Saccharomyces cerevisiae S288C: one gene and its partners. The gene in region 1 interacts genetically with each later gene. Each region holds a gene or a part of one and is shown in the gene's direction. Other genes may lie near its edges.

What was found. A genetic interaction does not mean that the proteins touch.
Region 2: mutations in YTA12 (region 1) and SSP120 impair growth when combined (synthetic growth defect), as found in Saccharomyces cerevisiae (one large-scale study listed by BioGRID).
Region 3: mutations in YTA12 (region 1) and YET1 together harm fitness more than expected from each alone (negative genetic interaction), as found in Saccharomyces cerevisiae (one large-scale study listed by BioGRID).

Annotation. Positions count from the first base shown.
Region 1 is NC_001145.3:443,002-452,208, reverse strand, and holds YTA12 (m-AAA protease subunit YTA12), read left to right. Parts: upstream 1-4,122; coding exon 4,123-6,600; downstream 6,601-9,207. Other genes in the region: AIP1 (Aip1p), read left to right, coding at 1-577; NPL6 (Npl6p), read left to right, coding at 844-2,151; YMR090W (uncharacterized protein), read right to left, coding at 2,281-2,964; VBA1 (Vba1p), read left to right, coding at 7,107-8,795; PDL32 (putative ADP-ribose 1''-phosphate phosphatase), read right to left, coding at 8,828-9,207.
Region 2 is NC_001144.5:636,224-643,494, forward strand, and holds SSP120 (nucleobindin SSP120), read left to right. Parts: upstream 1-4,093; coding exon 4,094-4,798; downstream 4,799-7,271. Other genes in the region: YEF3 (translation elongation factor EF-3), read left to right, coding at 557-3,691; SYM1 (ethanol metabolism protein), read left to right, coding at 5,241-5,834; CQD2 (Cqd2p), read left to right, coding at 6,404-7,271.
Region 3 is NC_001143.9:313,964-321,306, reverse strand, and holds YET1 (Yet1p), read left to right. Parts: upstream 1-4,249; coding exon 4,250-4,870; downstream 4,871-7,343. Other genes in the region: YKL063C (uncharacterized protein), read left to right, coding at 1-292; putative Mg(2+) transporter MNR2, read right to left, coding at 634-3,543; DPC7 (Dpc7p), read right to left, coding at 5,132-5,353; YNK1 (nucleoside diphosphate kinase), read right to left, coding at 6,034-6,495. UniProt on the Saccharomyces cerevisiae protein: May play a role in anterograde transport of membrane proteins from the endoplasmic reticulum to the Golgi.

The DNA of each region.
Region 1 (9,207 bases):
AAATGATGATGATTTGTTGATATTACAGTCTTTTACGGGCGATATAATCAAGAGTGTAAGACTGAACTCACCAGGCTCTGCCGTTAGCTTGAGCCAAAATTACGTTGCAGTTGGTTTGGAAGAAGGTAATACTATTCAGGTATTCAAATTATCAGATTTGGAAGTCAGTTTTGATTTAAAAACACCTCTTCGCGCAAAACCCTCGTACATATCAATTTCGCCATCTGAAACATACATCGCTGCTGGAGATGTTATGGGCAAGATATTGCTATATGATTTACAATCAAGAGAAGTGAAAACTTCAAGATGGGCTTTCCACACCAGTAAAATCAACGCCATTTCATGGAAACCTGCTGAAAAGGGAGCAAACGAAGAGGAAATTGAAGAGGACTTAGTTGCCACTGGTTCTTTAGACACCAATATTTTTATTTACTCCGTCAAAAGACCTATGAAAATCATTAAGGCGTTGAATGCTCACAAGGACGGTGTTAACAACCTTTTATGGGAAACACCATCTACCTTGGTTAGTTCTGGTGCGGACGCTTGCATTAAAAGGTGGAATGTTGTCCTCGAGTGAGATAAGAATATAAAGTAAACAATTACGTAACCTTAGAAAAATAGATATAAAAAAGTTTTACACTGTTTTTACCACAGTCCATATAAACTTGTAATTATTACCCGAATGCTTTGATTACTTCGCTCTTTTAAAAAAAAACCCGTTCGAACTATTAAACATGTTACTGTGAGCAGACAAAAATATTGCAAGAAAACAGCTTTATAAAGTTTAAGCATTACTGAATACAGTACATTTACTTTTGAAGAAGGAAATACCATCTAGCAGAAATGTCAGATTCAGAGGGAGGTCTAGCTTCCGAAGTTGAACATGAGAAGCGGTCAAGATCTACTAGCAACAGACCCAATTATGCAATTGATACTGAGGATTTAGATATTGATGAAAATGATGAGAATGAAGATGATGATTACAGAGAAGAAGAAGCCAATGAGGGAGTGAATGAAGAAGAAATAAGTGATGAGGAGGAACAGATAAATAAAAGCGGAAGAAACAAAAGGAGGCACGTGGACGAAGAAGAGGATTTGTCAGAGGATAAAGGCGTTACTAGATCTAGAAACCGTTCAAAGTTCAAAAAACCAGTATTTCCCGGAATCGATGATGCTGAGGAGAACTTAAATCCTTTGAAAGTGGTCAATGAAGAATATGTTCTACCAGATGATCCTGAAGGTGAGACGAAGATAACTGCAGATGGTGATCTATTAGGAGGCAGAGAATTTTTAGTGCGCACCTTCACATTAACTGAGAAGGGGAATCGAAAGTTTATGCTGGCCACCGAACCGGCTAGGATAGTGGGTTTTAGAGATTCATATTTATTTTTTCAAACTCACCCCAACCTTTATAAGTTCATTCTGAATCAAACTCAAAAGAACGACTTGATAGACCGTGGCGTTTTACCTTATTCATATAGAAATAGACAAATCGCTCTAGTCACCGCTAGAGGCGTGTTTAAAGAATTTGGTGCTAAAATCATTCGTGGCGGCAAACATATAACCGATGATTATTATGCTTCTGAATTAAGAACAAAGGGAAATGTAATTGAAGGAAAACTTGCTGGTGATCCTATTGATAAATCCGCAAGGGCCTTAGAAACCATGATGTATCCTGCTTCCGAGAATGGCATAAACCCTGCAAAAAACCAGGTGGAATTCTTTGAACACAGGCCACATGGTCACATGAGTAATTCTAATATTATTGCATCAGGTAGTAAGCTGAGCTCTACAAATTGGCTCTATCAGCATTCTGCTGCGTGTAGTAGATTTAATAGCGATTTGTTTTATGATAGAGTGAAGGTTCTTCTTGTAGATCAACAAGGCTTGAGAGATGCATACACAAATATATTACACATACCAGAATCCACACAGTCAACCACTGTTTTAGGATGGAGGAGATCAAAAAACGATAGTCCCAGCGACACAAGCATTGTGTATGAGACCGTTATACACGATAACGATTTGAATAAACCGAAAACGGGACTGTCGGAAATCCCGAAAGAGATCTATGAAGACGTTGTTGATGAAGACGTTTTAAGGGCTATCACCGAACAACAAAATTTCGAAAAATGCAACGAATATATTTAGTATACTCAATGTAACAATATAACAAATTTTTATCTTCAAATCAAGGTAAAAAAATTCATATATTCTCACTTTCTTTTTCTTTTCTTGACTATTCATCTACATATGCATTTCACGCGTAAATAGGTTGATCTACAAACTTTGAATGAATTTTTCCATTGGCTCGTTGCCATTTACCAACGAAATGGTTTTTTTCACTGTTGCATTTGGATGTAGCAAGCTTTCCACAATAAAAGAAGCTACATCCTCCCTGTTAATGGAGTAGTTAACAGAAGCCTTCTCTTCTAATTTGTCAAGGGGTTGCAAAAGACCGGTACCTTTATTTAGTTCCAACGATCCAGGCTGTAAAATAGTGTAATCCAAATTAGAGTTTCTAACCTCACGATCAGCAGATCTCTTTGCAATATAGTATTCACGCAAACCCTTAATGTTATACCAAAAATCTCTATCCTCCGCCTTGAGCGCTGAAACAACAACGAACCTTTTGATACCAGCCTTTTCGCATGCTTCAACAACTTTGATACAGCCATCCAGATCAACCGTGAAAATTCTTTCCATTCCTTTACCACCCGCACCGGCGCTAAAGACCACGGCATCATAAGCCTTAATAGCGTCTGTGATCTCACTAACGGACGCGTTTTCTATATCTGTCAAACTAGCATCAACACCTACTTCATTCTTGAAATAATTGACTTGATCCTGTGTTCTAACAATCGCTAATGGTGTTGAGAAACTATCGTTGGCCTTCAATTGGTTTATCAATAAACGTCCAACTTTACCACTGGCACCGACAACCGCAACTTTCATAGGAGACATGGCTGTTAAGTCAATAATATATGAATACCGATGATATAACTTCAATGAATTTTTATTTGGAGGGAAAGTATCCTATTATGAGCGTCACGATGGGACTTTAAATATATATCCCTACTTCGAGTGTACCCTTACGTAATACTTGCAGCCCCTTGCTGTTGACAGCGCGATACAATTTTCGTACTAAACAATCACAGAGGTAACAGCAAAGTTTGGAAAGTACTTTTGTTGGAAAGTTATTACGGCCACTAACATTGTCTCGTCGTATTATTAAAAGCTATAACGTCGTATTTCTTTGCTCGCTTGTGTTTTGTGATACAGGAAACACACACCAACAGGTTCACCGAGGGCTGTTGTCTGTCTTTGTACTTTAACTCAAAGAACTTCTGTTTCACGATTTGTATTAATAGTTCTTGCAGGCTACTAGGCTGAATACGTTAAAATGGTTAGCAACGAATATAACCAGAAATACTTCGGGTACAATTCTGATACGTATATTTGTAGATATGTCTCGCTTGATGTTGCCAACTTTGTCAAAAATGGTAACGTATGGGCACACGGAATGTGCTAATCCTCGACTTTGCTCTTTCGTAAACCAATTTGATGCAAGTGCAGCGTGGTCTTTTGAAAGTGCATTATCTCATTGGGCGATGCGAAAACTCTGCCTACAGAAGTTCGCCGTTAGATAATTCTGATTGTAGAAAACCTACCAAAGAGAATAAACTAAAGTGTCATCTGCTAATTTATGATCTTATCGTCTGAGTGATGATGTATGTTTCTCTTTGTACGGTTCGTCTTGTGCTCATGTACGTAACATCCTCCATATGTGTGAATTATTTTGTCCGGCGTCTTGTTTGAATATCCCATCCGGACGTATTTCTTTATAGGATAACGCATGCACATATCGGTTCGTTCAATAAGAAAGTCCCTTCTGGTATTATTCGGTGTCCTGTAAGATCTATATACTAATCACCAAGCTATCTGGTGTCACATTGTGAATACATTTGTCTTTTGGTCCATTTTTCCCCATCATTTTCTCGTGAAAACGATCTCTAACTTTTGCCACTATAGTTTTAAAGGAAAGATTTTGAGCTGCCAACGAATACAATATAGCACACTCAAGAGTCTTGGCAAGCAACTTTAAAGTTAGAAAGAGTACTAATGTTGCTACTTTCTTGGTCAAGAATTGCTACTAAGGTAGTTAGAAGGCCCGTTCGCTTCCGGTCCTATTACGGCTTGACCCATATCAAGAGTTTACATACTCAATATCGGCTACTCAATAGGCTGCAAGAGAATAAGAGCGGTAACAAGAACGAGGACAATAACGAAGACGCTAAACTTAACAAAGAAATTCCCACAGACGAAGAGGTTGAAGCAATAAGAAAACAAGTAGAAAAATATATCGAACAAACTAAAAATAATACTATACCGGCTAACTGGAAAGAACAGAAACGCAAAATTGATGAAAGTATTAGGCGTTTAGAAGATGCTGTATTGAAACAAGAATCTAACAGAATTCAAGAAGAAAGAAAGGAAAAAGAGGAGGAAAATGGTCCTTCAAAAGCCAAGTCAAACAGAACAAAAGAGCAGGGCTACTTTGAAGGTAACAATAGCAGAAATATTCCACCGCCACCACCACCTCCTCCCCCAAAACCACCTCTAAATGATCCTAGTAATCCTGTATCGAAAAATGTTAACTTATTCCAGATAGGACTAACTTTTTTCCTCCTTTCGTTTTTATTGGATCTCCTCAACAGTTTGGAAGAGCAAAGTGAGATAACGTGGCAGGATTTTAGAGAGAAACTATTGGCAAAAGGTTATGTTGCGAAGTTGATTGTTGTCAACAAGTCCATGGTGAAAGTGATGTTAAATGACAACGGAAAAAACCAAGCCGACAATTACGGTCGCAACTTCTATTATTTCACAATTGGTTCAATTGATAGCTTCGAACACAAACTTCAGAAAGCACAGGACGAACTGGACATTGATAAGGATTTCAGAATACCTGTACTATATGTTCAAGAAGGCAATTGGGCTAAAGCTATGTTCCAAATTTTGCCAACTGTTTTAATGATTGCAGGTATTATTTGGTTGACAAGAAGATCGGCACAAGCAGCGGGCGGTAGCCGTGGAGGCATATTTGGTCTGAGTCGTTCTAAGGCTAAAAAATTTAACACTGAAACAGACGTTAAGATCAAGTTCAAGGACGTTGCCGGATGCGATGAGGCTAAGGAAGAAATTATGGAGTTTGTTAGCTTCTTGAAAGAACCTTCTCGTTATGAAAAAATGGGAGCTAAAATTCCTAGAGGTGCGATTCTATCTGGTCCACCAGGTACCGGTAAAACTTTGCTTGCAAAGGCAACAGCAGGTGAAGCCGGTGTTCCGTTTTATTTTGTTTCTGGTTCAGAATTTGTAGAAATGTTTGTTGGTGTTGGTGCAGCAAGAGTAAGAGATTTGTTCAAAACTGCAAGAGAAAATGCACCCTCAATTGTGTTTATTGACGAAATTGATGCTATAGGAAAAGCAAGACAAAAGGGTAATTTTTCAGGTGCCAATGATGAGAGAGAGAACACGCTAAATCAAATGTTAGTAGAAATGGATGGTTTCACTCCAGCTGACCACGTTGTTGTTTTAGCTGGTACCAATAGACCCGATATTCTCGATAAAGCATTATTAAGGCCTGGTAGATTTGACAGGCATATCAATATCGACAAGCCCGAACTTGAGGGTAGAAAAGCCATTTTTGCTGTTCATTTACATCATTTGAAACTTGCCGGGGAAATTTTTGATTTGAAAAATAGATTAGCGGCTTTGACGCCAGGCTTTTCTGGTGCTGATATTGCCAACGTTTGTAACGAGGCCGCCTTGATTGCTGCTAGAAGTGATGAAGATGCAGTAAAATTGAATCATTTTGAACAAGCTATCGAAAGAGTCATCGGTGGAGTGGAACGCAAATCCAAGCTACTCTCTCCCGAAGAGAAGAAAGTAGTGGCTTACCACGAGGCTGGTCATGCTGTATGTGGATGGTACTTAAAATACGCAGATCCTCTTCTGAAAGTCAGTATTATTCCACGTGGCCAGGGCGCCCTTGGTTATGCACAGTATTTGCCAGGTGATATCTTCTTACTAACTGAACAGCAACTTAAGGACAGAATGACCATGTCTCTGGGTGGAAGAGTTTCTGAAGAATTACATTTCCCATCAGTTACAAGTGGCGCATCTGATGACTTCAAAAAAGTTACTAGCATGGCCACGGCAATGGTCACAGAATTAGGCATGAGTGATAAAATTGGCTGGGTCAATTACCAGAAGAGAGATGATAGCGATTTGACAAAACCATTTTCGGACGAGACAGGTGACATTATTGATTCCGAAGTATACAGAATCGTCCAAGAATGCCATGACAGATGTACAAAGCTGCTTAAAGAAAAAGCAGAAGATGTAGAGAAGATTGCTCAAGTACTACTGAAAAAAGAAGTTTTGACAAGAGAAGATATGATTGATTTACTTGGTAAGCGCCCTTTCCCAGAAAGGAATGATGCTTTTGATAAGTACTTGAACGATTACGAAACGGAAAAAATCAGGAAGGAAGAAGAAAAAAACGAAAAACGTAATGAGCCTAAGCCATCTACAAACTGATTGATATTTCACAATACAAAGAAATGGAGGAAGACTGTTCTACATATCTTGCTTATTTTATTGAAAGCCAGACATCTTTCTTTTTCGGTAGAACACTGTCACGTATTTACCATATAATCTAATCTGAAAACATGTAAATATATATACGTGTATAAATGCACCTATATCTATATATGATCAAAGCGCTTCTGTGAGGCTGTCATTGGTTAATACACGCGATCTTTTTTTTATCGCTGATTCCACGGCTTAGCCTATCTTATCTTCAGTATTCGCATGATACACTTTTTCACTGCGTCGTTTTGTTGGATGATATCTGTCCGACAATAAACGTAGGTCATCTTAAGGGCCGGTGATAGAGAAGAGCATGCGGTTCCACTTTAGGCCAACCCACATTCCCAAAATATAAGAATACAGCAGCGATTTTTTTCTATCGAATTATTTTGTTTTTTGTCTCCTCTTTGTTCTTCACTAAGCTCAGAGCCCTAGTTGTTGAGGGAACAAGAAGAATGCAAACACTAGACGAGACTTCAAATCTACTCCCTCCACCTGAGGAAGCTGAAGCCCCTCCCTTGGAACAAAAATTTCATGAATATAATTTGGCCTTACCTAAGTTTCCCATTTTGTTTTCGCTATGGTTGGGTAGTTTTTTGAGTTCCTTGGATAGCACTATTGTCGCAAATATAATGAATAGAGTTGCTGAGGAATTCTCTGAATCAAGTAAAAAGCAATGGATTGCGACGAGTTTTCTTTTGACAAATACGGCTTTCCAACCACTATATGGGAAGCTTTCTGATATAACAGGGCGGAAGTCAGCATTATTAACCGCTCAATTTTTTTTTGGCCTTGGGTGCTTATTAACATGTTTTGCCAGAAACGTCACGGAATTCTCAATAGCAAGAGCCATATGTGGTATTGGTGCAGGAGGATTGAATGCTATTAGTAGCATTGCTGTTAGTGACATATGTACAGCAAGAGAAAGGGGCGTTTACCAGGGATATGCGAATATTGTTTTCGGGTTTGGTCAATTACTAGGTGCTCCGTTGGGTGGTGTATTTATAGAAACCATTGGATGGAGGGCTCTTTTTGGTATCCAAGTACCCGTGATAATGTTGTGCTCGGTATTAGCAATCAAAAACATTAATATTAAGCTATTCCATGTTCCTCCTATGAAAGAAAGATATACCTTAAAGAATCTGTCACGGATAGATATATTTGGCTCATTAAGCCTGGTGGCGACCATTAGTGGAGTTTTATTTTTGTGCTCTAGCCAGTTGAACAAGTTGTATTTAGCATTGTTTACCATTGGTAGCTTTATTGTTTTTATCCTGGTTGAACGTTATTACGCGACTGAGAAAATTTTACCATTCGAACTATTGACTCGCTCATTCTGTTTGAGCTCAGCGGTAACGGTTATATCTTCATTTGTTGTATTTGGTGAAATCTTTAGGTCACCAATCTATTTACAATTGCTTCAAAATATTAGTGTAACAAAGACTGGCCTCTTTTTGATTTTCCCCTCTATATCAGTTGCAGTCGGATCATTGGTAACAGGATGGGTATTGCGGAATACGAAAATTAACCTAGCACACTGTGCATATCAAATCATTTTTGGTGGTATGATAATGCAGCTATTGGGTTTGGGATTGGGCTATTTCCTACTTTCACACTTGAATCCTGACTACACCATATATGATATGCTTGAGTCTATTACATTCAGATCTAACTCAATATGGTGGAAATTGATATATGTGTTTGCATCAGTCCTTGTGTCCTTTGGTTACGCTTGTCTATTAGTGGCCACGTTAGTAAGCATCGTATTCACCGTCGAAAAATCACAGCAAGGAACCATGACTGGTGTTTTCTATTTGTGGAGATCCATTGGTAACGTTCTTGGTGCCTCTTTAACTTTAGTGTCCTATGAGAATAGCCTGTCGTCCATGTTATGGAATTATATGTTCAAAACCAAGCGTGATGACGAATATCACTTCACCAAAAAGCAGTACTACTCCCTTATCAATGATTCGAGTTACTTGAGAGGGCCCAATTTTCCAACGGATATATTTGTTCGCATTCTTGATGTCTACAAAAAGGCATTCCTGATTTCCTATATTCCAAATATAGCCCTGGCAGCAGTGGGAATTGTTTTATCGTTATATCTGGTGAAACATACTTACAAACGTAGTTCAAGTTCTTGAAAAATTGAAAATAGACTTTATATTATATACCTTTATAAATCCAAGGTCAAAATCCTTCTAGGAATGAGCAATTCTATTGCATCTTTTTCTACATTAAAGGATTTCAGCATTTCGATATCTATTCCTAGTTTTTGGCACTCTATTTTGCAACTTTCCGGGAAAAAAGGTTCAAACGGATATTGCAAATAATACATGATCAGCACATTTTTCAATTCTTTGCTTATGTGATCTCCCGCCATATATAGTCTTAACGCAAAGGCCATACTCTTGCAACTGATAATGGGTGGTACACCTGCATACCCAGTACATAATCCAGGAATAATAAGACCATCAATGTCTTTTGGAGAATGCATCAAGGCATTCCACATGGCGTTGAAAACCGGTTCAAACCCTGTCTTGAGGGGATTCTGCG
Region 2 (7,271 bases), on another chromosome or scaffold:
TGTTGATTCCCGTTTCTTAGTCAACACTTCTTTCTATTTTACCCGGTCGTTACCCTATTAAAAAAACAACTTACAATCATTGTTCGCCCCTTCCATACTTACTGCCACTCGCAAAAGGGCCCAACCAGGGCAATTACGTATCAAAAAATCATGACAGGCTGGGTAATAAATATTCGTGAAGAAAGAAGAAATTAAAAAAAGAAACGAAGAAGCAAAAAAAAGAAAAGACTCCGTTTAATCACTTTCAACCGCGGTTTATCCGGCCCCACCCATGCATAACCCTAAATTATTAGATCACTTAGCACGTGAAAAAGAAACGTTTTTAATGTTTTTTTTTTTTTTTTCTTTTTCTTTTTTTGCGTTGGTGAAAATTTTTTCGCTTCCTCGAGTATAATTATCTCATCTCATCTTTCATATAAGATAAGAAGTTTTATAAAAACCTTTTGCATCAAAATTTTGTAGAATATCTCTTTTTCTTACGCTCTCTTTCTTTCCTTAATTGTTTTCTAAAGAACCGTGTATTTTTCTAGTTCGAATCCATCGATAACATTAAAAGATGTCTGATTCCCAGCAATCCATTAAGGTTCTAGAAGAACTATTCCAGAAGTTATCTGTTGCCACTGCTGACAACAGACACGAAATCGCTTCTGAAGTCGCTTCTTTCTTGAATGGTAACATCATTGAACATGATGTTCCAGAACACTTCTTCGGTGAATTGGCCAAGGGTATCAAGGACAAGAAGACCGCTGCTAACGCCATGCAAGCTGTTGCTCACATTGCTAACCAATCTAACTTGTCTCCATCTGTTGAACCATACATCGTCCAATTGGTTCCAGCTATCTGTACCAACGCAGGTAACAAGGACAAAGAAATTCAATCTGTTGCTTCCGAAACTTTGATTTCCATCGTTAACGCTGTTAACCCAGTTGCCATCAAAGCTTTGTTGCCACATTTGACTAACGCTATTGTCGAAACTAACAAATGGCAAGAAAAGATTGCTATTTTGGCAGCTATCTCTGCTATGGTCGATGCTGCTAAGGATCAAGTTGCCCTAAGAATGCCAGAATTGATTCCAGTCTTGTCTGAAACCATGTGGGACACCAAGAAGGAAGTCAAGGCTGCTGCTACTGCCGCCATGACCAAGGCTACCGAAACTGTTGACAACAAGGATATTGAACGTTTCATTCCAAGTTTGATTCAATGTATTGCTGACCCAACTGAAGTTCCAGAAACCGTTCATTTGTTAGGTGCTACTACTTTCGTTGCTGAAGTTACTCCAGCTACTTTGTCCATCATGGTCCCATTGTTGTCCAGAGGTTTGAACGAAAGAGAAACCGGTATCAAGCGTAAGTCTGCTGTTATTATTGACAACATGTGTAAGTTGGTCGAAGACCCACAAGTTATTGCTCCTTTCTTGGGTAAATTGTTGCCAGGTTTGAAGAGTAACTTTGCTACCATTGCTGACCCAGAAGCCAGAGAAGTTACTTTGAGAGCTTTGAAGACTTTGAGAAGAGTTGGTAACGTTGGTGAAGACGATGCTATTCCAGAAGTTTCTCACGCTGGTGACGTTTCTACTACTTTGCAAGTCGTTAACGAATTGTTGAAGGACGAAACCGTTGCTCCAAGATTTAAGATTGTCGTCGAGTACATTGCCGCCATTGGTGCTGATTTGATCGATGAAAGAATCATTGACCAACAAGCTTGGTTCACCCACATCACCCCATACATGACTATCTTCTTGCACGAAAAGAAGGCCAAGGACATCTTGGACGAATTCAGAAAGAGAGCTGTCGACAACATTCCAGTTGGTCCAAACTTCGACGACGAAGAAGACGAAGGTGAAGACTTATGTAACTGTGAATTCTCTTTGGCTTATGGTGCTAAAATCTTGTTGAACAAGACCCAATTAAGATTGAAGAGAGCCAGAAGATATGGTATCTGTGGTCCAAACGGTTGTGGTAAGTCCACTTTAATGAGAGCTATTGCCAACGGTCAAGTTGATGGTTTCCCAACCCAAGAAGAATGTAGAACCGTCTACGTCGAACACGACATTGATGGTACTCACTCTGACACTTCCGTCTTGGATTTCGTTTTCGAATCTGGTGTTGGTACTAAAGAAGCTATCAAGGACAAATTGATTGAATTCGGTTTCACCGATGAAATGATTGCTATGCCAATCTCTGCTTTGTCTGGTGGTTGGAAGATGAAGTTGGCTCTAGCTAGAGCTGTGTTGAGAAATGCTGATATCTTGTTGTTAGATGAACCAACTAACCATTTGGATACCGTCAACGTTGCTTGGTTAGTTAACTACTTGAACACCTGTGGTATCACTTCTATCACTATTTCTCACGACTCCGTTTTCTTAGATAACGTCTGTGAATATATTATTAACTACGAAGGTTTGAAGTTGAGAAAGTACAAGGGTAACTTTACCGAATTCGTTAAGAAGTGTCCAGCTGCTAAGGCTTACGAAGAATTATCCAACACTGATTTGGAATTCAAGTTCCCAGAACCAGGTTACTTGGAAGGTGTTAAGACTAAGCAAAAGGCTATTGTCAAGGTTACCAACATGGAATTCCAATATCCAGGTACCTCTAAGCCACAAATCACTGACATTAACTTCCAATGTTCTTTGTCTTCCAGAATTGCTGTCATTGGTCCAAATGGTGCTGGTAAGTCTACTTTGATTAACGTCTTGACTGGTGAACTATTACCAACCTCTGGTGAAGTCTACACCCACGAAAATTGTCGTATCGCTTACATTAAGCAACACGCTTTTGCTCATATCGAATCTCATTTGGACAAGACTCCATCTGAATATATCCAATGGAGATTCCAAACCGGTGAAGATAGAGAAACCATGGACAGAGCTAACAGACAAATCAACGAAAACGATGCTGAAGCTATGAACAAGATCTTCAAGATTGAAGGTACCCCTAGAAGAATTGCCGGTATCCACTCCAGAAGAAAGTTCAAGAACACTTACGAATATGAATGTTCTTTCTTATTGGGTGAAAACATTGGTATGAAATCTGAAAGATGGGTTCCAATGATGTCCGTCGACAACGCTTGGATTCCAAGAGGTGAATTGGTTGAATCTCACTCTAAGATGGTTGCTGAAGTTGATATGAAGGAAGCTTTGGCTTCTGGTCAATTCCGTCCATTAACCAGAAAAGAAATTGAAGAACATTGTTCCATGTTGGGTTTGGACCCAGAAATTGTTTCTCACTCCAGAATTAGAGGTTTGTCTGGTGGTCAAAAGGTTAAGTTGGTCTTAGCTGCCGGTACATGGCAAAGACCTCACTTGATTGTCTTAGATGAACCTACCAACTATCTGGACAGAGATTCTTTGGGTGCTTTGTCTAAGGCTTTGAAGGAATTTGAAGGTGGTGTTATTATCATTACTCACTCTGCTGAATTCACAAAGAACTTGACTGAAGAAGTCTGGGCCGTCAAGGACGGTAGAATGACTCCATCTGGTCACAACTGGGTTAGTGGTCAAGGTGCTGGTCCAAGAATCGAAAAGAAGGAAGACGAAGAAGATAAATTCGATGCTATGGGTAACAAGATTGCCGGTGGTAAGAAGAAGAAGAAGTTGTCTTCTGCGGAATTGAGAAAGAAGAAGAAGGAAAGAATGAAGAAGAAGAAGGAATTGGGTGATGCTTACGTTTCTTCTGACGAAGAATTCTAATCTTTTTGATCACTGCTTTCACAGTTTTCTTTAAGATTTTTATTGATCAATAATTTATGTATATTTTAATTTCTATGTTTTTGTAATATTGTTTATTTTGGTAAAATATAGACGCAACTTCCTTATTATAAAGAAAGGCATTATTTAAAAGAAAAAGCGTTCCATTAGTCAGACATCTTTTTTTTTCATACATTCTTAAGCTCAGGCAAATTGAGCATTGCCTCATACCCTTTTCGGTAAGAGGGTAACGAAAATATTTTTTTGGAAGAATAAAAATAGGTGACGGATCATAGACTAGGAAGCTTTAAAACATGATTGAGCGTAATATTATATTCCTTCTAGAAAAGATAAAAGAGCCAAGACCTAAAATTTTTTCATCCCTGTTCTATTAAAATTGTGGAAATGAGGTTTTTGAGGGGATTTGTATTTTCTTTGGCTTTCACTCTATATAAAGTAACTGCCACGGCAGAAATAGGATCTGAAATTAATGTGGAAAATGAGGCACCACCTGATGGTTTATCCTGGGAGGAGTGGCATATGGACCATGAGCATCAGCTAAAAGATTACACTCCAGAGACTTTCTTCGCGTTACATGATATCAAGAAGAAAGGATTTTTAGATGAAAACGATATTCTATCTCTCTACGGGTTGAACCGTGAAGAAATTGTGGGGGCTGGTGATGGTATGGGACAACACGATGAATCTGAGAAAATTGACAATGAAATGGCTAAGCGTGTTGTTAGCCTTATTATGAGGTTATTGGATGTTGATGATAATACCAAAATCACCAAGGAGGAATATCTACAATTTGCTAAGAGAGGAAACAAGTTCCCTGACCTTGGCGTTGGTGTAGGTCACCACTCCGATTTTGAGCTAGAATATGAAATTCATCACTGGAATAAGTTTCATAAGGACAAAGATCCAGACGTTAAAGTCGTTCACAAAGAAGACATAGAACATGAATTGCTTCATCATGAACATGAAATTGAACATGAAGAAGAAATTCAAAGAGGCGCTTCTAGAGCTACTGTAATAACTGATGACGAACTAGAGTCTAGAATAGAGCTGAAAAATATTCCCGAGAAATTCAAAAATGGAATTTTTTAATGGACTTGGTCAAGATGAATAGTTGAGACTGAGAAAATATTCAAGACACTATGTATGTAGTCAATTAGCATGTAGTAAGTAATCAAAGCACTTAAAATATATTTTTACCATCGCATCGTTGTGATGCCTCTCCTTTGTGATTAACTATCTACTTTAAACGTTCTATTTTCTATGTTCTAATTACGTATGTATTGGTCTTTTCTCTCCGATGGTAACAAGAAGCGTTTCGGGAAACAGTGGCACCTCCTTGTCCCTTAAATGTCGAACTTTAACAGTATAAGTACAAAGTGAAAAAAAAAAAAAAATGGAAATATCTATGATAGTGATATGATAGAAGAGCTATTTGAATGCTATGTTGTCATATTTAGCCTTACAAAAGGGAAAAGGCAAACACAGTCTTTTGTTATTACTATAGGAAAGATAGAATTGATATTAAAACAGTATGAAGTTATTGCATTTATATGAAGCGAGCTTGAAGAGAAGGCCCAAAACTACGAATGCGATAATGACAGGTGCGCTATTTGGAATTGGTGATGTTTCTGCTCAATTGTTGTTTCCAACATCCAAAGTAAACAAGGGTTATGATTATAAAAGGACAGCTAGGGCTGTCATCTATGGTTCTTTAATTTTCTCCTTTATAGGTGACAAGTGGTACAAGATCTTGAACAACAAGATTTATATGCGTAACAGACCTCAGTACCACTGGTCTAATATGGTTTTACGGGTAGCTGTCGATCAATTGGCGTTTGCGCCGCTAGGTTTGCCATTTTATTTCACCTGTATGTCCATCATGGAAGGTAGATCATTTGACGTAGCTAAGTTGAAAATAAAAGAGCAATGGTGGCCTACACTTTTGACTAATTGGGCAGTTTGGCCACTTTTCCAAGCGATTAACTTTTCTGTTGTTCCTTTACAACATAGGTTACTAGCTGTTAATGTCGTTGCAATATTTTGGAACACTTACTTATCTTATAAAAACTCAAAGGTTATGGAGAAAGACAAGGTACCTGTTCATTATCCACCCGTGGTCGAATAACTGGATAAGAAATCCTGATTTTGAAAATATTTGGAATTCAACTAGCATATTTATCAGACCTTGTTCCTTGGGGTACTGGAACAGCATATACCTAATAGACTTTCGGCAGAGAGCAGACCAACTTCATAAATATTTGAGTCACCAAAGTTGGCTAGCAATCTGCTTTTCCTTTACAGATGTGCTTGGTCAGGAACAATTTATTTAATTACATTCGTACTTCTTTTATAGAGGAAATAGTAGCTAACATTTCACTATTGCGGTCATGCCTGTTGTTCTTCAGCTACCGTTTATGCAAAGGTGTTTAATTAGGTGTGAGACTTAAGTGGGCCTTTTAGTACCACTGTGGGTTCTGGACCTTTATATAATATTTCATTTTTTCAAAGGTTTTTTCATATGCCGTTAAAAGAGGTCAAAACATAGACCCGAGGAACATATCTTGTAAATCGCTGCGTTATGTATGCATATTGTACTCCTACCTTCGTAACTGGAAAGAATCAGTCTGAAAGTTTATTGAGCCTGAAACGGAGCAAGATTATAGTTGAATGTTTCTTATTCGGTGTTGATAGTAGATGATGACCAAAGCTTTTTTTAACAAACTACCGTTTGAGGTATTCCGTCGGTACGTTAGGACAGGTAAAAGCATCCCTCAAAGAAGCCCCAGGACAAGAAAATCTCTTCTGGTGGGTGGGACTATTGCATCAGCAGTAGTTTTGTACAACTTTAATGACACTTTTCATGATTCTGTAAAGCACACGGCACTGACGACTAAAAGAATCGCTGTCGTCACACAAGCTACCACTCGTTGCTTCTACCATTACAAGAGGGCTCTAAATAAAAGCTATGAGAACAAAAAAGAACGAGAAGTTGCCTTAAATAAATGTCATAAGATGTGTGCCTTAATCACGTTGCATGCGCTACGATCGAATGGTGGGATATATATCAAATTAGGCCAGCACATTGGGGCCATGACCTACCTGTTGCCTAAAGAATGGACGGATACAATGATACCGTTGCAAGACCACTGTCCCGAATCCACCTACGAAGAAATTGATGAGTTATTTAAAGAAGATCTAGGCACCAGCATTGAGGATATGTTTTTAGAATTCAACAAAACCCCGATAGGTGTAGCTTCCTTGGCACAGGTTCATGTGGCAAAACTAAAAAATAGTGACGGTAAAGGTTCTAGTGTAGCTGTCAAATGTCAGCATCCATCGTTGAAGGAGTTTATACCATTAGATGTTATGCTGACAAGAACAGTGTTTGAACTGCTGGATGTCTTCTTCCCTGATTATCCGTTAACGTGGCTTGGTGATGAGCTTCAGTCTTCAATCTACGTGGAACTGAATTTTACCAAAGAAGCTGAAAATGCAGAAAAAACCCGTCATTATTTTAGTAAGTTCAAGAAGCAAACAGCATTGAAAATACCCAAGGTCATTG
Region 3 (7,343 bases), on another chromosome or scaffold:
TGATGTTTCTGCAAGTGCAAGCGATCATACCAATATTGCAGCCGGCGGTGCAGCTGATGCGACTAACAATAAGCAACCACAACAAGCTAAAGTACCTAAAGAAAAGTTCAATAATGAAGTCGCAAAGCAACAAGAAGTAAAGAATTTGGAGAACGATTTGAAACCACAAATTGATTCAGAAAAGCAAAAACAAATAAACAAGGACAAAAAAGAACAAAAACAGCAACTCCAGAAAGAGAAACAAGATCTCGCCAAGGAAAATTTGGCTAACAATGAAATCCTTGATAATTAACCAATTCAAAACTTCCAACAGTTTGGTGATGAAAATAATAAATGTTTTACGTTAACCTTATTGATTAACCTCACCTCCCTTATTCTTTGTATAGTATAAGTGCATACTAACATACTGTGTACGTACATAAAGATATGCAGAACGTTCACAAACATGTAGAAACCAGACACGAAAAAAAAAAAAAAAAAAAACATAAATAGATTAAAGATATTTATCACCACAAGTATACGATACGGCGCTGATAATTTACAATTCTATCCTTCGGGAAAGACAACAATAATTTAGGCTGATAATTAAAATCGAAGGAAAAGCAAGCGCTAATGCGCGAAAAAACACTTAAATTAAAACCCGAATCTTCTCTTAGTATACATATATGCAGAACATGCTAGCATACACATAAAAAGCACAATGCCTATAAACCATGTCAACGAATCCCTGTATTGTCCGGGCACGATAACATTCATACCCCACAGACCCGTAATCACATTCATTGGCAGAACAATAGTACCCAGTATGGTAATTTTTCCCAAAACGTCGTTCATGTCATTATTAACCTTCGTCATATCAATGTTGATTTGTGCCAGATAATTTGAATGCGATCTACTTAACAGTTTTTCATAATGGTTTAGCGATGAGACCATGGTTACAATATGATCTTGAATATCACCCAAATACATTGCGATTTCAGATTGTGGCGAAGCTTCCCATTGCTCATTATACCTTTTGGCAAATCCTTTTATCACATCAGCCTTGGATCCTAGCAATCTTAGTATACTCATCACTCTTTTACGGCATTCACCAATCCGCCTCAACATATCTCCTTTTCTCTTCCAACCTATCAAATTTGCATTGAATGACGCTTCAGAAGTGCTCATACTTCTTGAACTCACACTAGATTTTGCACTAGAGTAGGACGTCTTTTTAGAATAGACATCGAACGGAAATGCATCCTCATCGCTAGCGCCCGAATCGGAATCACTATCGCTAGAATCGCTATCACTAGAATCATCTGACTGATGCATCTTCAAAATGGCGTCCTCAATCTCATAAACTTCATCTTCGATAAGTTCTATCATAGGGGCAAATGCGTCTGTAATGTCATCGATTAAGGCATACGCAATCCAATCAGAGGTAACATTAAGGTAATCCTTTAGTAGTCTTGCTCTTCTTCGAACATTAATAGGATGTGGTGTGGGAGCAAAATGAAACGTCAATACACCAGTTCTGAAAACAATAATGTAAACATTCAATGGCTCTAATTCTCCCTCACGTGGTTTGTGCCTGTCTCCTGATTTTCTTTTGAATTTTTCGTTCTCTTCCATCTTTTTCTTTTCGCTTTTGACACGGCGTTTATAGCTTGATGATGATGTATTGGTTGTTCTATTTGCAGATGACCGACGGCGTGCACGTAAAATCGATGGAAGCCATTTGCTCCTACTTGCATTGCTTGTACTGTTATTGTTATTTGCATTTGATTCATTTGACATAGTAGCACCATAGGCTTGTGATTTACGACGTGAAATACTTTCATGATCCAAGGTAGCAGATTCTTGCTTTTCTTTTCTCCTCCGACGAACATGCTTTTCTGCTACAATATCGAAACTTCTAAAACAAATCAGGTAATAATCTCTAAATAGTTCCACTTTCTCACGAACTTCTCCCAAAAAAATATCTTCTGTAGTTAAAGGGTGAATTCCGAAAGCTTTACTTAATATTTTCATCTCCTCTTCAGTAGGATTGCTGACATCCAACCAGAATGGAGGAACATCCTCTATATTTGCCACAGACATAGACGATAAAGTGGAAGGGTTTTTAGCTGTCAATCCCTGGAGTTGAGATACAGTTTCTGCTTTTATACCAGGTGTTGGAGAATTTGGATGTGTCTTGATATGACCAGCGCTATTATCTTGGGAGTATATAGAAGCGACAAATAAATCTTGAAATTTTTGACCAGGTTGCAGTAAACCAGATATTGTCGGAGAATGAACAGTAGAGTCCAAATCCACCCTAAAATAAGTGAACCTGAAATGTTCTGGGTTATTAGAAATAATATGCGGAGGATATTGAATATTTCTGCCGACTAGTAAGTTATCTTGTAATCCGCTTTGAATTCTTGATTTTGAGTCCTTGGTTGAATTGGACCCAAGGACCATTGGACGTTGAATCAAATGCCATGGCGCAATTCTTTTTGGCCTTAAACGGCCGTTCTTCAAATTCTCTGTTTCGTTTACCCTTCTGTTTCCCAATTCAGGGACATCAATATTAGTTACGATTGGCTTTGAAAAAAGAATTCCATCTTCATTTGATGTTCCATCTTCCTCATCTTCATCGTATTGGAAGTGGAAAGCTTCAGCATCTTGAATAGCTTGACTTCTTAGTCTCTCTGTTTCTTCCTTGGAAAATTCTTCCAAAACAGTACAATCAGGCCAAGCTTTTGGCACTTCGCTACCCTCATCATCAAGCACTAAACAAACGTCATCCAAAGAAGAGTTATTTGAAGAAAGACTAGAAGATGGCCTTGAGTTATACTCATCCTCTTCATCGTTTGAATCACTGGATGTGGATTTGGAATTTTTGTTGCTACTATCATCAGAACCCCTCTTTTTCTTTCTTCTCTTGCTGTTATCATTAACCCCAGTACTTGCATTGTTGTTAACATGGTTCATTAACGCATCAACATCAATCACGACATCATTATTCGCGTTCGATTGTCTCCTATCGGTGGGGGAGTTTTCGTCAACAAAACTCTTATGAACAGATTTCCTTCTCTTCAGCCATGATTCAAGCTCTGAAGGGGATAAGTCCGATACTAATGATCTATTCTGATCAGAGGGTCTTAACCCTGCGGGTTTCTTGTAACTTGGTGTTGAAAACTTCATTATTGGCTGTGGTTGAACTGTGCTTGATACACTTTGAGGCCCCTCCCTAGGTTGGCTCATTGAAGGTCTATGATCAATGAACGCGCCCTTGAGCGATGGATCCTCACTTTTTATTATATCATTACTTGTAGAATCAGATTCATGCAGCATGCCCCAGGAATCGATCTGGTCGAAATCAGTAATCTGGCCGTGATTGTGTTGCAGATTATCATGCAGCAGTTGCGTTGGCCTACGTGAGTCTGACTTCAAGTGACCAACAAACTTGTCCTTTCTTCTTTTTTGATTGCGCTTCTTTTTCCTTAGTTGAGGGCTACTAGAGTAAGGGGAAAGCAAAGGAACACCTTCATCCTTTTGTGAGTTATCAGTGCTCATTTTTAATCTTTTTCTTCTCTACACTTCTCACTTTTATTCTCTCAATTTACTGTCGAAGTAAGGGGATAAACTCAGTGTAGCAATACGTACAACTTAGTCATCAAATGAAAAAATGCGGACTACCAAACCAGAAAATGATGAATAGTTATACAAGTATACGATAGTACAAAAATATATTTAAAGGGCCAGGTACTACTAACGACAACCTGGGCTAGGTTTCACATATCAAAAAGAAGTTATGGCTTATGTGCTCTTTCTAAGTTTGACTTTATGCCAAAAATTTCTCCGTAGATCGCCGCCCGTTGAAGCAGCAGAATATTTTAAGTGCGCCATAAAAACCTAGATAGAAAAGAAGGGAGAGAACATAAACGCAGAACACCACTACTTTTAAGGCGTACGCAAACTGTTGGGCTTATCTATATTGTACTATCTACCTACTTGCAACGTCTTTTACCTCCTCGATACGTACTGCTTATGCCCTGAACAATTTACATGTAACCCGCAGCTGCATGCTATATCACAGGATACGTTAACATAAAGGGGGCGCTACTAAACCCTCTGGCGCAGTGCAAAAATAGAAATATATGCCAAGTGGGACCTTGTATAGTTTCTGGTTTAAAGCTATTCGTTCATTGCAACGCTCCTTTCTGCTATCCTTTCGCAAAGTGGCAAGTACTGAAAACCGAGAAGAATAAATAATATTGCGATGAGTTTATACTTTACGACATTATTTTTATTGCTCACTGTTGAGATGGTAATGCTCTTCATCTTCGTTTTGCCTTTGCCATTCCGGATCCGTAGGGGTATTTTTAGCACCTATAACCAATTGACAGCGAAGCAGCAAATAAAAACTATAATCTTTATAACGGGTTGTCTTGTTGGCCTGTTGTTTATTGATTCATGGAAAAGGTCTCAAATTCGTGTTTCATTATACCACAACGACAACAGTGGCTCAATCGGGTCATCTGCTGTAACTCCAATACAGGCACTAGCATCAAGAGCGTACAATCAAAGAAATATGTATATTTCCGGGTTCATATTGTACTTTTCTATCTGTATCCCAACTGTCATGTCTATTGTCAAGAGACTGGTGAAATACCAAGGCTTAATCAACGAACAAGAAAAGCAAAAATTGAACAAACCTTCCTCAAACAGCAAGAAAGACTCAAATGAAGCTGATTCCACCAAACTTCAAGAGGAACTAAGGAAAAAGCAAATTTCTCTGGAGGGCCTACAAAAGCAAGTCAAAAACCTGGAGAAATATTTTGATGAGAAGAATCAACCTGGAAATGTAGCAGCTGCTGAAGCTTCCAAGAAAGGAAACTAAATAGATATATTTATGTATAAATGTATATACGTGTTACCTCTGGTGCTCATACTTCTCTGGTCGCGACGCAATACGAAAATGCTACTGAAATAAAAAGCAAGCGATTAGATCAAATGAATATATGCATTATATGTTACCAACTTTATTTTTTTTGAATATAGACGAAAAAACGTTAGAGAAAGACATAAAAAAAAAAGATTGAGCTTCGTGACTCGGTTTACCATTCTGTGTTATATACGAAAACCCTTATATAACAACTTTTTAAATTTTTTTCTCATTTTGGTATATCTTTTTAATTTCACTATGTTTGCTATCGTTCTTATAAAACAAATAAAGTAGAACTGGAATCATAACACCCACAGAACCGACCATTAGTCTAGATGTTTGTTTCTTAGGATTAGACCCTATCACAGGCTCAAAATCCTTTGAGGATACATATCTCCTACTTGTCCGTTGTAATAATTTCAAAATATTAGATCTCATCATTTAAAAATGTAAGCTTTTTTTTACTTGAGTTTTTGTTGTCAGAGTTAGGTCCAAAGTCCCTAGAATAGTGTACGCGATAAAACTCAGCTGCAAGTCTAATATATACATTCCGCCAGAAATTTCAATTTGGGATCCCTGCATATTGCCAAATTTATTGGAGAAACTGTTAAACCTAAAAGAACGGTAGTAGCTCTATCAACTTAAGGGTTGGGCACCCTTAAATGTTTCATTCAATAGGGAGATCCATTTCAAGTTGCCTATTTACTTGTACCCCTACATAGTCCAAGGGCGATGAACTACCTATAATAATGCCGGTAGGCATGCTTCCGGATATTACAAGACTATTCGCTGAAACCGTATGAACATCGTACGTTCCGCGATTGTAATAGACCTTTGCCAACTTGTATTTTTCGATGATACTATAAAGTTCGGAAAGAAGAAGGAAGTGTGGCAATTTCACTGGGAGCCAAAAGCATTTGACATCAGGCGTCATTGAAGCGTCATTAAGTATTATAAATTCGTATATAAGGGTAGCAACATAAGTGGTATTTTTTTTATATAATCGTGCTCCTTCTAAAAAATTCATTATATTATTAGCTAGTGAGGGAACATGATATGAGCTGCCCAAAGCGAGAAAAAAAAGGCGCTCATATGTACCCTCCCATGCCATAAGTTATTCATTCATAAATCCACTTAGCTTGATTAGATTCCCAATCAACTAACTCTTCCTTCTTAAACCACAAATTGATTTCACGTTCAGCGCTATCAACAGAATCACTGCCGTGACAGACGTTTCTGCCTAGGTCAATACCGAAATCACCTCTAATGGTACCTGGTGCACTGCCCAAAGGATTAGTAGCACCAAGAATAGTTCTTCCTTGTCTAACCACATCTTTTCCCTCCCAGACCGTGGCCAAAATGGGACCAGACTTCATAAAGGATACCATCTTTGGGAAAAATGGTTTACCAACATGCTCTGCGTAATGTTGCTCTAGTAATTTATCATCCGCTTTAACTAATTTAATAGCAACTAGTTTGTAACCTTTTTTTTCAAAACGAGATAGAATTTGAGATACTAAGCCCCTCTGGACACCATCTGGTTTTACCGCAATAAAAGTTCTTTCTGTTTGACTAGACATTTTTCCAGGGATGATTTATGAGATGTTTTTCCGGAAAGAACCTGATAACTTGATAAAGTATTCTATAGATAACCTATTTCAAAATAAGAAAACGATATGAGCTAACGAAGTACTAAGTCTTTCACTTTATATAATCGGCTCTCCGAATTAAAGTACTTTTAAGGAGGAAAACTGGTCTTCATTTTCGAAGACACGAAACGAAGCGAATTACGCGCCTTTTTATTTGATGGACTTGCTCGCCAGCCCAATGGATACGAACAAAAATTAATTCAAAAAATAGGAAAAAATGAAGACTCAGTGGATTCTGATGTAATTGTTGGGATTCCATTGTGATTAAGGCTATAATATTAGGTATGTAGATATACTAGAAGTTCTCCTCAAGGATTTAGGAATCCATAAAAGGGAATCTGTAATTCTACACAATTCTATAAATATTATTATCATCGTTTTATATGTTAACATTCATTGATCCTATTACATTATCAATCCTTGCGTTTCAGCTTCCACTAATTTAGATGACTATTTCTCATCATTTGCGCCAGCTTCTAACACCGTATATGATAATATACTAGCAACGTAAATACTAGTTAGTAGATGATAGTTGATTTTTATTCCAACAAAAAAGTCAGACTGGACGCATTATAATGCTTACTCATCTACTTTTTTTGCTTTCACTTGCTAATTTCAATATGCTTTCTTGATGTTTCTTTCATTTGCTCTTTCATCAGACATTCTATATCGGTCACTTTTTTACTCGTAACTTTAAATGTGATAAATGGGGAAATGGAGTGGTACAAGCATTCGAGTATATTTAATTCTTTCCCTTCCTTTCATCGAGAAGGAAACTG